Regions from separate parts of the Mus musculus genome. Here all the other regions are reported to be linked to region 3. Evidence: microRNA targets listed by miRTarBase, many of them from high-throughput screens and not tested one by one. Region 3 holds a microRNA gene; each other region holds the end of a gene's coding sequence.
What was found. The annotated mature microRNA mmu-miR-5112 reads UAGCUCAGCGGGAGAGCAC and lies in region 3 at 2,271-2,289, opposite strand. An mRNA with a match to its seed (bases 2 to 7 or 8) in the 3' UTR can be bound and repressed. Matches are read on the target gene's strand: a 7mer-m8 pairs with bases 2 to 8, a 7mer-A1 pairs with bases 2 to 7 and ends in A, and an 8mer does both.

Region 1 (4,241 bases), not on the chromosome of region 3:
TTCTGTGATTTCCAGTCCAGCCAGGGTTATATAGCAAGACCTTGTCTCAACGGAAAGAAAGAAAGAAAGAACGGAAGGAAGGAAGGAAGGAAGGAAGGAAGGAAGGAAGGAAGGAAGGAAGGAAGGAAAGGAAAGAAAAAAGAAAAGGAAAGAAAAGGAAGGAAGGGAGAGAGGGGGGAAAGAAAAAGAGAGAAAGACTTGGGTTGGTGAGGTGGCTCAAGTGGCCAGCACTTCCCTTGGAAGCCTGTGTTCAGTCCTGGAAGCCATGTGTGGGTGGAAGGAGAGACTTGGCCTCACAGTTACCCTCTGCCTTACACATGTGCTTGGTGGCACGTGTACCCTACCATAACACATATACACAATAATAACAAGTTACATAAACAGAAAAGAAAAAGATTGTTTTGTTTTTTGAGACAAGGTCTCTCTGTGTAACCCTGGCTGTCATGGAACTTACTCTGTAGTCCAGGCTGGCCTTGAACTCACAGAGATCTGCCTGCCTCTGAGTGCTGGGGCTAAAGGCGCGCGACACCCACCTCACCTGGCCACAGTTTTTGAGCTTTACGTGATTTACAACATCATCTTGTCTCGAGGGACAAAGGAGTTTGTGTCTCCTCCATCTTAGCCCCAAGACCCAGACTTTAAGACGACGATGATATTTGCGCTGGAGTAGGAGATCCACAGCTAAAATATACAATTAGCATTTTCTCCATCTATTTCTAATTTTTTCCCCTTTCTCCAAGGTGTCCTTTGCTGCTCACATTGCAGGTGGATTTGCTGGGATGTCCATAGGTTACACTGTGTTCAGCTGCTTTGACAAGACCCTGCTCAAAGACCCCAGGTTCTGGATCGCAATTGCTGCATATGTAGCTTGTCTCTTATTTGCTGTGTTTTTTAACATCTTTCTGTCCCCAGCAAACTGACTTGCCTCTATGATAAACCAGTTAATATAAAAGTGTCACATGGGACCAGGTGTGGTGGCACACGCCTTTAATCCCAGCACTCGGGAGGCAGAGGCAGGCGGATTTCTGAGCTTGAGGCCAGCCTGGTCTACAAAGTGAGTTCCAGGTCAGCCAGGGCTACACAGAAAAACCCTGTCTCAAAACCCCCCCCCAAAAAAAAAACCAAAAAAAAAAAAAGTGTCACCGGGGGAGGGGAATTGTAGACTCTGTAAAGAAACACAGATATTCCAGCAAATGCTAAGAACATTATAAAGAAGGCAGGACAGCGACTGAGCTTACAATAGGAGGCAAGAAGATAAGAAGCAAAGACCAGGTGTTTCATGCACAGAGCATGTGTGTATTACCCTGTGAAGGAGACTTGATATCCTCGGGGGATGTAACTTGGAGGTTGTTTATAGGCTCCATGAGAACTGTACTATCCTGATAATAAACATTTTTTTTTCACATCTGTGCTGGACTCTTGCTTCCTGTTGCTTTGAGGCAAAGCCTTGTGTATGTATCATAGAATGGCTAAGAACTTTGCTGAATCCAAGCAAGTCCTTTGATCTCTGCTTACATCTCTGCAGCTGGAATTACAGGCTTGTGTGATACCAACCTGGGGTCTCCATCCTTTAAGGCCGGCTCTACTGAGCTATGCTTCCCATGTAAAACTCTTGACAATCACTTTTCAGTAGACAGAGCACAACTGTTGTTGTTTAAATATTTATGTGTTTGGTTTTTGAGACAGGGATTCTCTGTGTAACAACTCTGGCTGGTCTGGAACTTGCTTTGTAGACCAAGCTGGCCCTGAAATCACAGAGGTCCTCCTGCTTCTGCCTCGGGAGTGCCGGGATTAAAGGCATGGGCCACCATGACTGGCAAGACTTACTTTACTTCTATGTGTATGAATGTTTTGCCTGTGTGCACGTGTGTGTACCATATGCATGTACTGGATCCCCTGTAACTGGAGTTACAAATGACTGTGAGCTACCATAACGGGTGTTAGGAATCAAACCTGGGTCCTCTTCAGTAGCAACAAGAACTTCCAAACACTGAGCCATTTGTCGAGCCCCAAGCAAAACTGTTGTGTTTTGTATATATAGCTGCTAATTTTTCAACTCAGAAAAGTAGATAATTAGATATTATTCTGTATCTTAGAGATGAGGATATGGGAATGCCTAAAACACCAAAGTACAATTGCATACTTGTGGGTTTACAGCCACAGATTCAACTGACCTAGACTACAAATATTTTAAAATAATACATCTGTACTGAATACTTATAGATGTGCACGTGCGTGCATGTATGCGCACGTGTGTGTGTGTGTGTGTGTTTGTATGTGTGTATGTGTAGGCATGTGCACCAGAGCATACAAGTAAAGTAAGTGGAGGCCAGAGGGCAACCTTTAGAAGGGAATCAGTTGTCTTTTTTTTAAATTATTATTGGATATTTTCTTTATTTACATTTCAAATGTTATCCCCCCTCCCAGAAACCCCCTATCCCATCCTCCCTCCCCCTGCTTCTATAAGGGTGTTCCTCCACCCACCCACCCACTCCCACCTCCCTACCCTCAATTCCCCTACACTGGAGCATCTATCAAGCCTTCATAGGACCAAAGACCTCTCCTATTCCATCTTGGGACCAGCTTCCATCTTAAAGAAAAAAAGCCTGAGAACTTGATCCGCAGCAGAACTCAGCCTGCACCCAGTTACCAGGAAGGACCCCATGGCTTGTCCTTAGCTACTTCCTAGCAACAGTCAATAAAAGATTAGTCTGATTGTTTCAGATGAACTTTCAGACTGTGATTGTATACGGCCTTGCTTCGGCTTATAGTTATCCTATTAGACGCTTGCCAGACTGGACACCCCCTTCCTCACCCCATCACTTACTTGCCCCCATTTTCCTATAAAAACTTGTCCTGCTGAGGAATCGAAGCTGCTCCACCTTCCCTTCCCATCCTGCTGTGTCAGGGTTGGGTTGGAAGAGAGCCCAAGCCCGAGCTTGTAATGAAGAGAGCCTAATGCTTCTACATTGGAAACAGCTTCTTGGTGGTCTTTTGTGGTTTACAAACTCTTCCTGGCACAACACTTCCACCATGTGAGCCCCAGGGATCAAACGTACATTACCACGCTTACCAGGGAGCACCATTACCCACTGGGACGTTTTGCCAGCTCATCTACCTTTATTTTTTATTTTATTTTTATAGAGGATATAATTCATTTTTGCTTACAGTTGCACAGGGGTAAAAGTCCATTATGGTGGCTTCTCAATGGTGCTTTGTGTTGTAAAAAGTATGGTTTTGTTTTACTTTCCAAAGACTCTTGGTTATGCTCATCCTTTTCAACCCCAACATTGCTTCCTGTATCTTCATTTAGTTCATTGGATATAATATATATTCTTTTATCTTTAATCTTTTACAGTCTAGTCGTTGTTCCCCCTCTCAGTCTGCCCACTGACAGTTCCTCCTCCCATTCCTCCTCTGCCCCCCCCATGTGCCCCTCAGTTCCGGTCTCAAAGAGGATGTCCCCACCCCTCACCCCCATCCCACCATTCCCTGGGGGTTAGGTGCATCTTCTTTCACTGAGGTCAGACTAGGCAGTCCTCTGCTGTATATGTGTCGGGAGGGTCTCATATGAGATGGAGTATGCTGCCTGGTTCATGGCTCAGTGAGAGATCTCGGGGGTCCAGGTTAGTTGAGACTGCTGGTCTTCCTTTGGGGTCGCCCTTCTCCTCAGCTTCTTCCATCCTTTCCCTAATTCAACCACAGGGGTCCCCAGCTTCTGTCCATTACTTTATTATTATTTTTTTGAAACACTGTCTCTTCCCCAACCCCTCTCTTCTGACACACACAGAAGAGGGCATCAGATCCCATTACAGATGGTTGTGAGCCACCATATGGTTGCTGGGAATTCAACTACAGGACCTTTGGAAGAGCAGCCAGTGCTTTTTATCTGTTGAGCCATCTCTCCATCCCCGAGACATTTTTTGTGGACTCCAGAACTTACCTTTTCAGCTAGTTTAGCTGGCCAGCCAGCCTCTAGGATGTCTGTCTGTCTGTCTCCCCCCACCCCTCAGCACTGGGATTATAAAGTGAGCTGCTCTGCATTTCACTGGGTGCTTGGAACGTAAACTTAGATATATGTATCCAGTAAACACTGTGTACTGACCCAGTTCCCCAACTTTCACTGGGTGCTTGGAACGTAAACTTAGATATATGTATCCAGTAAACACTGTGTACTGACCCAGTTCCCCAACTTTTAGACTATGTGTGTGTGTTGTGCACACATTTGGAAACCCTAAAGG
Region 2 (4,241 bases), not on the chromosome of region 3:
GGGCCTCCTTGCGGCCTAAAGTCCTGGAATGCCCTCCTGCAGGCCTTGAATTATCAACCACCCCTTATTGGCATGTTCTGGACTCCAGAGAGGTCAAATTGGTGTCCTGAATTGCTGTCATTTTAAATTCATCTTGACAAGTGTTTAATTCTTCTTTATCACAACCCGTGGTCTGAGAGTGATATGCAAATAATGGCTATTCTGCTGCATGCAAAATGTGCAGTATCTCTCTGTATGATCTGTCAATTAACTCTGAGCCTGGCCCACCAGCCACTTTGGGGGTGGTCTTGGGCATGACAGCCTCTGCTGGCCTATGATTCCTTCCAATGAAAAGGCACTTTCTGGGCTCCTTAAAGATCTCAGCAGAGGGCAGCTGTCAGCTGTGATCCTGAGATGTGTGGAGTACGGGTCTGAGCATGGAGAGTTCTGAGACTGTGTATACACCTGAGGGTGTTTGTGAAGAAGAGCATGCAGGGTGAACCTGACGGGTCACTGATAGCAGGTACATCCCAGGTCAGCTATGATGCAACTCAACACATCGGTGGACGTTGCAGTTTCAAAGGGTTGGCAGGGATCTAATACACTCCTCCAACTTAAGAGGCATGCATGTGGTGTGCCTGTGTATGTGCAGGCAAACACATGCTAGGTAAGTATTCAACTGCACAATGACATTTGCAGTCCCTTTTTTGGGTTTTTCGAGACAGGGTTTCTCTGTGCAGTCCTGGCTGTCCTGGAACTCACTCTGTAGACCAGGCTGGTCTCGAACTCAGAAATCCACCTGCCTCTGCCTCCCGAGTGCTGGGATTAAAGACGTATGCCACCATACCTGGCTGAAGCTTTAGTTTTTTTTTTCTTGGACCCATCTTCTTTCTACTCTCAAAATTTACTGTTTCCTATCCTGGGCCAGGAAGACTTGAGAAAACTCTAGTCAGTTGGTTCCAGAAAGAACATATCTTGAAGCTGAGGGATGGCTTATTGCTCTTGCAGAGGACCCTGATTTGGCTCTCAGTGCCACTACTGGATGGCTCACTAAAATCCAGTCCCAGGGGATCTGAAGTGCTCTGACCTCTGTGTAAACCAACATGCAAAACTCTTTAAAGTTAAAAGAGCAACATGGTTGGGCGGTGGTGGTGCACGCCTTTGATCCCAGCAGCACTGACTGCTCTTTGGAAGGTCCTGAGTTCAAATCCCAGCAATCACATGGTGGCTTATATCCGTAATGAGATTGGATGCCCTCTTCTGGTGTGTCTGAAGACAGCTACAGTGTACTTGCACATAGTAAATAAATAAATCTTTAAAAAAGAGAGAGAGCAACATGTCTGGAAAATAGTTTATTAATTCTTTACAGGGACAGATACATGATCAACACCTTAGTGTAACAATAAAGAATATCATATTTGTAAGGAGGAAGCATGATGCTGGAAAGTGCAATTAAATAACCCAGCACAAACTAAGCACAGGTAAACGAGTGAGCATGTAAGTATTGCATACACTTGTCATGCTTCGAGAAAAGAAATTCTTAAATGAGACTCCAAAGAACTTAAGGCATCCATGGCAAACGACAAAGGGACTAATGCCCTGTAAAAGGCCAACAGACTTTCCTAATAAGACCTGCTGCTACAAAGTCACAAAGCTAACACTCCCCAGTTACTCAGAACCCAAATCATATATAATGCTAGTGAGTTCTGGCTACTTTCTTATCAACTGTGAGTTATAGGCAGATACCAGATTTATTACTTATTTGCTTTTGAGAAACAATTTTCCACCCAGCCTAATGGGTTATAAATTGTCTCATTTGCAGCTATTTAATTTAAACCAGAACCTCAGTGCTTGTTAAACAAGAACATGAGGAATGACTATGTGGTGTGATGCTAAGAGCCTACTGTTAAAACGGTTATTTCATTCAAGGCAAGGAGGAAAAAAATCTAACCAGGAAAACAAAATGAGGCTCTTGACCTTCAGAGCAATGAAGAAACATACGGTGGTGTTGGCCGTGGCCACTTTGAATGCTATAGAAGTAGTTCAAGTGACAATCCTGTCTTTAATGAGATACGAAGCCAGCATTAATAATCTTTAGTGTTATCATAGGCTGGCTGAAGAGGGGAGGAGAAGGAAATGTGGGTGGGGTCAAACATGAGTGACACACAAGGCTAATAAACACAGACGCTTTCAGAAGCTACAACTCCACTGAAAGACATAAAATAAAATAAAATAAAATAAAATAAAGGGAAAATAGACTGGTTATTTCTAACTTGGCCCAGAAGCCAGAGTTAACACTTGATGTGCCAGCCAGTTGAAATAGAAAGATGTGCAGCAAGAGCACAGATGCCACTGGATCTGACAATTCTGGGACATGACTGAGGTGAGAAACCAGAGAGATGGCATGGCTCTTGTGACTCAGGAAATACCAGTCAGGCTTGGCCCTTTGTGGTAAGATGATTTTGGGATTCAGTGTAAAGAAAGATAAAATAAAATGAGCCAGCCGCCCTTTTCCTATGCAAAGACTTCCCTTACAGCATCTTGGAGGAAACTCTTTGCTACTCTGAAGCCAGGTTCAGGGCTCCAGGGTCAGGGAACTGAGCCATGGCAGCCCCAGTAGCTCCCCTCTCCTCACCCCTTCAGTTTCAGCCAGGACTGCACGTCAAAAGCACACACCCATCTCTCTGTGCAGATGGGTGGCAGCCATTTTTTTTCAGCCTCTTGGTTTCACTCCCTACCCCTTCTTGGGGGTTCCCCTGTGCAGCCTGGACTCATCTCTTCCATAGAAAACCTTCTCATCTCAACACCAAGGGGAGGGCAGCCAGACAAGCCACAAGGTCTTTTCCAGATCTACTTGGAGTGGGTCATCTGCCCAGGAAGGCGGTTGGCAGGGGAGCTGTGGGGACCCAGGGGTCACACTATGGTCTGAAGCAGACATGAGGTAGTCATGTTGTTAGGAAAGGGTGCATAGGTTGAACTCAGGGACGAGAAACACACGACATAAAGACAAGCATGGCAGACAGAAATGAAAACAGCAGTGAGGAAATCAGGGGCATCATGGGAAAGAGAAGGGCCCCAGGATAATCGAGCAAGATGACATGAGACAGATCACCAGAACAAATGAAGGAAGGGGCAGAGAGGGACAGGGTGCGAAAGAAGATTTCCCAAACCAGGCACTTCCCAGATTACAAAATTAGGTACAGAGATGCTCAAAGGAGAGGGGAGCTGAGCTGGGTTCACCCAGACATCTGGACCTTAGGAGGCCAGGGGGATGACAGCCATGCTGTGGTAGGCTGCGGTGTCATAGGCCCGTGGAGTTGACTGGCACTCTGCTCAGCACAGCTGACAGAAGAGGGGCTGGCGCTGTCTTTGTAGACACAGCACTGGAGACACTCTCAGAGTGTAATAAAAGGCTAGGTGACAAGGCTAAAAGCTCAAAGAGCTGGCACTGATCACTGTTACACCATCCTGCCACGGAGGGTCAACTAGGCCACAGTGAGTGCTACATAGGGAGAGGTTTCCTAGCTCAACCAGCACACACACACACACACACACACACGACTTCACACGTGTCCATTACACAGAGCTGTGTCTCAAGTCCCTCCTGTATGTGATGCAGAATATGAGGGAGAGTAAAGTTCTCCCCAACCCCAGCCAAAGGACCCTAAGAGGCTCCAAGGACTTATGGATATCTCTAGTACACACATGTGTAGCCATGCATGGCATGTTCCTGAGCCATATCTGCCTTCTGCTCAGGGGACCTGAGCAGAGGAGACAGGGGCCCTGGGAAGGCTTGGGCTGACTGTTAGAGGACACAGGGCTTTGGGCTGGCAGCTTTTCCCAGGGGCCTCCTCTATAGCAGTGCTGGGCTGGAGGTCTGAGCAGGAGCAGGAGGCACTGGCTGCTTCTGGCAAGCAGGTGAGCCTCTCTGGCCCACTGGTTGTTGGTTGGCACCCTCCCAGCTCCCTGCCCAGCCAGTCTGCTCCTTGAGACAGATCCACAGCTCCAGACGTGGAAGGCAGAGTCTCTGCAGTCAGTGGTTCCTCTGGCTCCAGGTCTTGGAGGTGGAGGTCAGGACATCCTTTGGATGCACCGAAGTCGGAGTGGACAATGACCTCAGCTTCCACCTGATTCCTGCAGGCTGGGGACGGCTTCTTTCTCCCGTTGCTCTGGCAGAGTGGAGAACAAAAGGCTAGGTGAGCACCACTGAGAATGGTCTTCAGAAAATGACCAACATATTGGGGGGCGGGGGGAGAGGCTGA
Region 3 (4,241 bases):
TCCCTCTCTCCCTCCCTCCTTCTCTCCCTCCATCCCTCCCTTCATCTCTTCTTTGCAGCACGGTCTCAGTGTAGCCCAGACTAGCCTTGTACTCACCGTGTAGCCAAGGACGATACTGACCTTGTGATACTCTTGCCTCCTGGATGCTGGGATCTCGGGTGAGCACTGCCAGGCCCAGCACTGGAGCGCAGTGCTTTGTGCTTTATCGCCTGCTGCAGTGCTGCAAGCACTTGTACCAGCAGGGCTGTATCCTCAGCTCGGCAATTCTTCTTTTTTAAAAATGCAAGTTCTCATGTAGCCCAAGCTGGCCTTGAATTACTACGTAGTGAAAGATATCCTTGAACTCTTGATTCTCCTGCCCCCCACCACATCCTAAATTCTGAGGTTTATAGGTAGATGCCAACACCCAGCTGAGATTTTTTTTTTCTGATTATAAAAATAAGATCCTGTTGCTGTATTGGGAAACGGGAGAACCAGTAAAAAGTATAAAGTTACAAATTAAAAAGACTCACAATCCTGTCTTCACTTTCCAGAATTTATTCCCTCTCCGTGAGCCTACGCAGCACTCTGCCATCCGAGGATCAGGAAATAAAAACAAAACGAAACCAACAATAAAATAAAACAAAAAGAAAAAAAATCTAGTTTGGATAGATAGCACTTAGGAAAGGCACATTTATCTACCTCCTTGTTTATATCTTTTTGGAAGAATTGCTTTCGATAAATACTAAATAATTAACAAGTCGGTAGACACAAGCACGTGTAAGCACCCTTCGCCCTCCTCCCTAGGGAGTGCTCTGTAAATTACTGTGTGAGTGCAGGGATGAAGACTGCCCTTGGGTACTAAACGGCGACCTTCTGACCTTTCATTAGACCCTGCTGTTTCACCCCACTGTGAGTCTCTCTGCCCACAGCCCCACGTGTGCAGCTTTGCTTTCTGGGTTAATGGTATGATGAGGCTTGGTGCTGTCCTTCGGATTCAGCTGCTCAATAGGTCAGCTGTCAATCCAGATGAGGGTCCCTCAGCTTCCCAAAGAGCAGTTAGCTCCCACAGAGACAAATATGCCCACAAAATTCAGAGGTGAGGCATACAATTATCTTTTTTTTGTTTTTGTTTATTTTTTGTTTGCCAGTGGGGGTAAAACGAGAGCCAGTATACCACAGAGATACCAGCTCGGCCCTGCTTATTACAACCATGCAATATTACTGTTTCCAATAGCTGAGCTATTGCCTAGATGCCCATCAGCAGATGAGTAGATGAAACAAATGTGGTATACACACTAGAGTCATATTTAGCCAGAAACAAGGAAGAAAGGAAGAGTACACACACACACACACACACACACACACCCCTAACACTCAGAAAGTAGAGGCAGGTGGATCTCTGTGAGTTCTGGGACAGCCTGGTCCACATAGGAAGTTTCAGGCCAGCCAGTGTTTTATAGTAAGCCCCTAAATTGAAAGGAAGGAAGGAAGGAAGGAAGGAAGGAAGGAAGGAAGGAAGGAAGGGAGGGAGGGAGGGAGGGAGGCAGGCAGGCAGAGAGAGAGAGAGAGAGAGAGAGAGATTGAGAGATTGAGAGAGAGGAAGGAAGGAAAGAAGGAAGGGAGGGAGGGAGGGAGGGAGAGAGAGGGGGAGAAAGGAAGGAAGGAAGGAAGGAAGGAGAAAGAAAGAGAGAGAAAAGAACAAAGAAACAAAGAGAGAAAAGAAAAGAAAGAAAAGACTGAGATTTTGTCATTTGCATAAAACAGAACTGGAGATCATCATATTAAGTGAAGTGAGCCAGACATGAGAAAGGCAAAATATGACATGTGCTCTCTCTCCTTTGCACAACGTAGGAGTGTGTGTGTGTGTGTGTGTGTGTGTGTGTGTGAGAGAGAGAGAGAGAGACATGAAAGTAGACCAGAGACTATCTCTACTGGGAGAAGGATGGGAGCCCACAGAATGCAGAAGAACAGGAAAGAGTGAATCTGAGCAGAATATACAGTATGCCATCATGAAACTCATGAATTTAAAGCATTTTTATGAAAAAGGCAGTCAAGAGACATGAATTTAACTTCTTTACAAAAATCGTTCCCCCTGGTGTGCATAGTCACCGTGACTGTGATCCCCGTCCGTCTGTCTGTCACACCAGCTTGTGTAGGCAGACGATGTTGCCCTGAGTGAGGCCACAGCTCTGCATTGGTTTCTGTAGATTGAATCTGGATTTTCCTGGGCTGACTTTCGTCTTGTTTTGTTTTGGGTGGCACTGGAAATGTAGCTGGGGATGAAGCAGGTGCTCTCCCGCTGAGCTACACCCCAGCCCTCAGCCTTCAACCCTCTTTGTAAGACTCCAGCATTCACATGGAACTGTGTTGATGGCCTGGCAGTTCAGTTGAGGGTCTGCTTTTCCTCCCACAGTAGTGATGGATCCTGAGTACTGAGGGCAGCAGCACTCCTGGCCGAGCTGTGAGACTTGTGTCAGAGAAGCATCGTTCCTGCTTCCGAACCCCACTGACTCGGGAAATGAGTTCTCCAGTACGGTCCTGTGGACATGGGTGACTAGAAGAAAATGGCTTCCTCTGTCAGCTAGAGCAGAGACATGCTGCCTACCTAGCCTGGTGTCTGTCTTCACTAAGCACACACCATCATCACCATTACCACCACCATCACCACCACCAACAACACCATCATCATCATCATCACCACCACCACTACCACCACCACCATCATCATCATCACCACCATCACCACCACTACCACTACCACCACCACCATCATCATCATCACCACCACCATCACCACCACCACCATCACCATCATCACATTCCCAGCACCACCTCAAACACATCACCACCACACCACTAAACTGCTATAACATCTCAGTCACAGACACAATTGACAAATAGTTGTTAGAGGGATGACCGATCGATGTCTCCTTAAGGAATGAAACCAGAAACTTCCGCTTAGCGTCCTTTAACCAAGAGAGAGCCCAAATTGGGTTCTCTTTCTCCTTGTCTTCCCCATCTGTCTGTAGTTTGTGCTTACACGTGTGTGTGTGTGTGTGTGTGTGTGTGTGTGTGTGTGTGAGAGAGAGAGAGAGAGAGAGAGAGAGAGAGAGATCTGCCCCGTTGCTTATACGATCTGTTCATGTGCTGTGCCTGTTTGTCCCTGACAGAGGGATCTTCTCTGTGTTAATTGCACAACACAGAAAAAATGGCATGTGCCAGGGGGCCAGGCCTGTCAGTTAAAAGGGTTCCTGAAAGGAGAGACGGAGTCAGCAAGGGAGGAGTGAACTGGACATGGTGACCTTGCAGCCCTGACTGACTAGCCGGTTGCTTCTTTATTTACACAGGTTCCACACAACAAACACAGACTAATGATTGTCCAAGTACAGTTCATATCATTTTATCTCCAGACGCATGCTTGATTTGTCATTACATGACCAGGTGTTACAAGTTCAGTCACTGTTAGAAAGTAGCCTTCGCTTTGGCCTCAAGGGAGGTTGTTTAACTTCCGGGAAACTGGTGGAAGGCAAAGAGGATAAGCAATGGCCAGCAATGGTAGGGTGCGCATGAGTGTGTGCATGCGTGTGTGCATGCGTGTGCGTGTGCGTGTGTGTGTGTGTGTGTGTGTGTGTGTGTGTGTGTGTGTGCGCGCAGAGCTCATTCACTGCCGACTCAGCACGGCCGCACCCAGAGCTATAAAGGTGTGCTTTGAGACACTCCTCCCCCTGCCCCACCCCCCACTGAAGGCAGCTAGAGGCAGCTCTGAGCAGATGCAATGTTTACAACACTGTCACAGCAGACTTCTGTGGGAGGCACTTACAGCCTCACACTCTGCACAAGCAGGACTTGGGCACAGACAACCTCCCACCCCTGCCACTCACAAGAGCTGGACAGACTCAGCTGCTGCTACATGGGCCTTAAGGCAAGCCCTGAGCTCTTGATATTAATTGCCCTGATGAGTCAATGCTACAGCAAGTAAAACGAAATCGGTTGGCTGGATGTAACCATGGCTGCCATATATTTAAAGAGCTTGGTTGGGGGGGGGGGGGTTGTATCTGGGCTAATTTTAGATTTGAAGTCAGAAAGCTCTGAGTTGCTATTTCCTGAACCTATAATGATATCAAGTATACAAGAGCATAAGAGCCACAGTGACTACCTTCTTATTTAGAATAGATTCTTACCTTGCTTGCTTGCTTGATTGCTTGGTGGTCTCAAACTCACCGTGTAGCTGAGGAAGACCTTGAACTCCTGAACGGTCT

Region 1: the mRNA of Rhbdl2 is a reported target of mmu-miR-5112. Seed matches in the 3' UTR shown: 7mer-m8 at 1,026-1,032.
Region 2: the mRNA of Igdcc4 is a reported target of mmu-miR-5112. Seed matches in the 3' UTR shown: 7mer-A1 at 3,502-3,508.

The regions. Positions count from the first base shown.
Region 1 is chr4:123,828,794-123,833,034 of GRCm38, forward strand. Rhbdl2 (rhomboid like 2) reads left to right here. Exons shown (of 8, transcript NM_183163.2): 8 at 741-1,111. The coding sequence ends at 920. Among named protein-coding and RNA genes, the nearest start is that of 1700121C08Rik, 26 kb to the right of the region's middle.
Region 2 is chr9:65,135,019-65,139,259 of GRCm38, reverse strand. It overlaps Igdcc4 (immunoglobulin superfamily, DCC subclass, member 4), which reads right to left. Exons shown (of 20, transcript NM_020043.3): 20 at 1,313-4,148. The coding sequence ends at 3,732. Among named protein-coding and RNA genes, the nearest start is that of Igdcc3, 4.0 kb to the left of the region's middle.
Region 3 is chr18:82,718,339-82,722,579 of GRCm38, reverse strand. Mir5112 (microRNA 5112) reads right to left here and starts at 2,299; the gene lies at 2,240-2,299.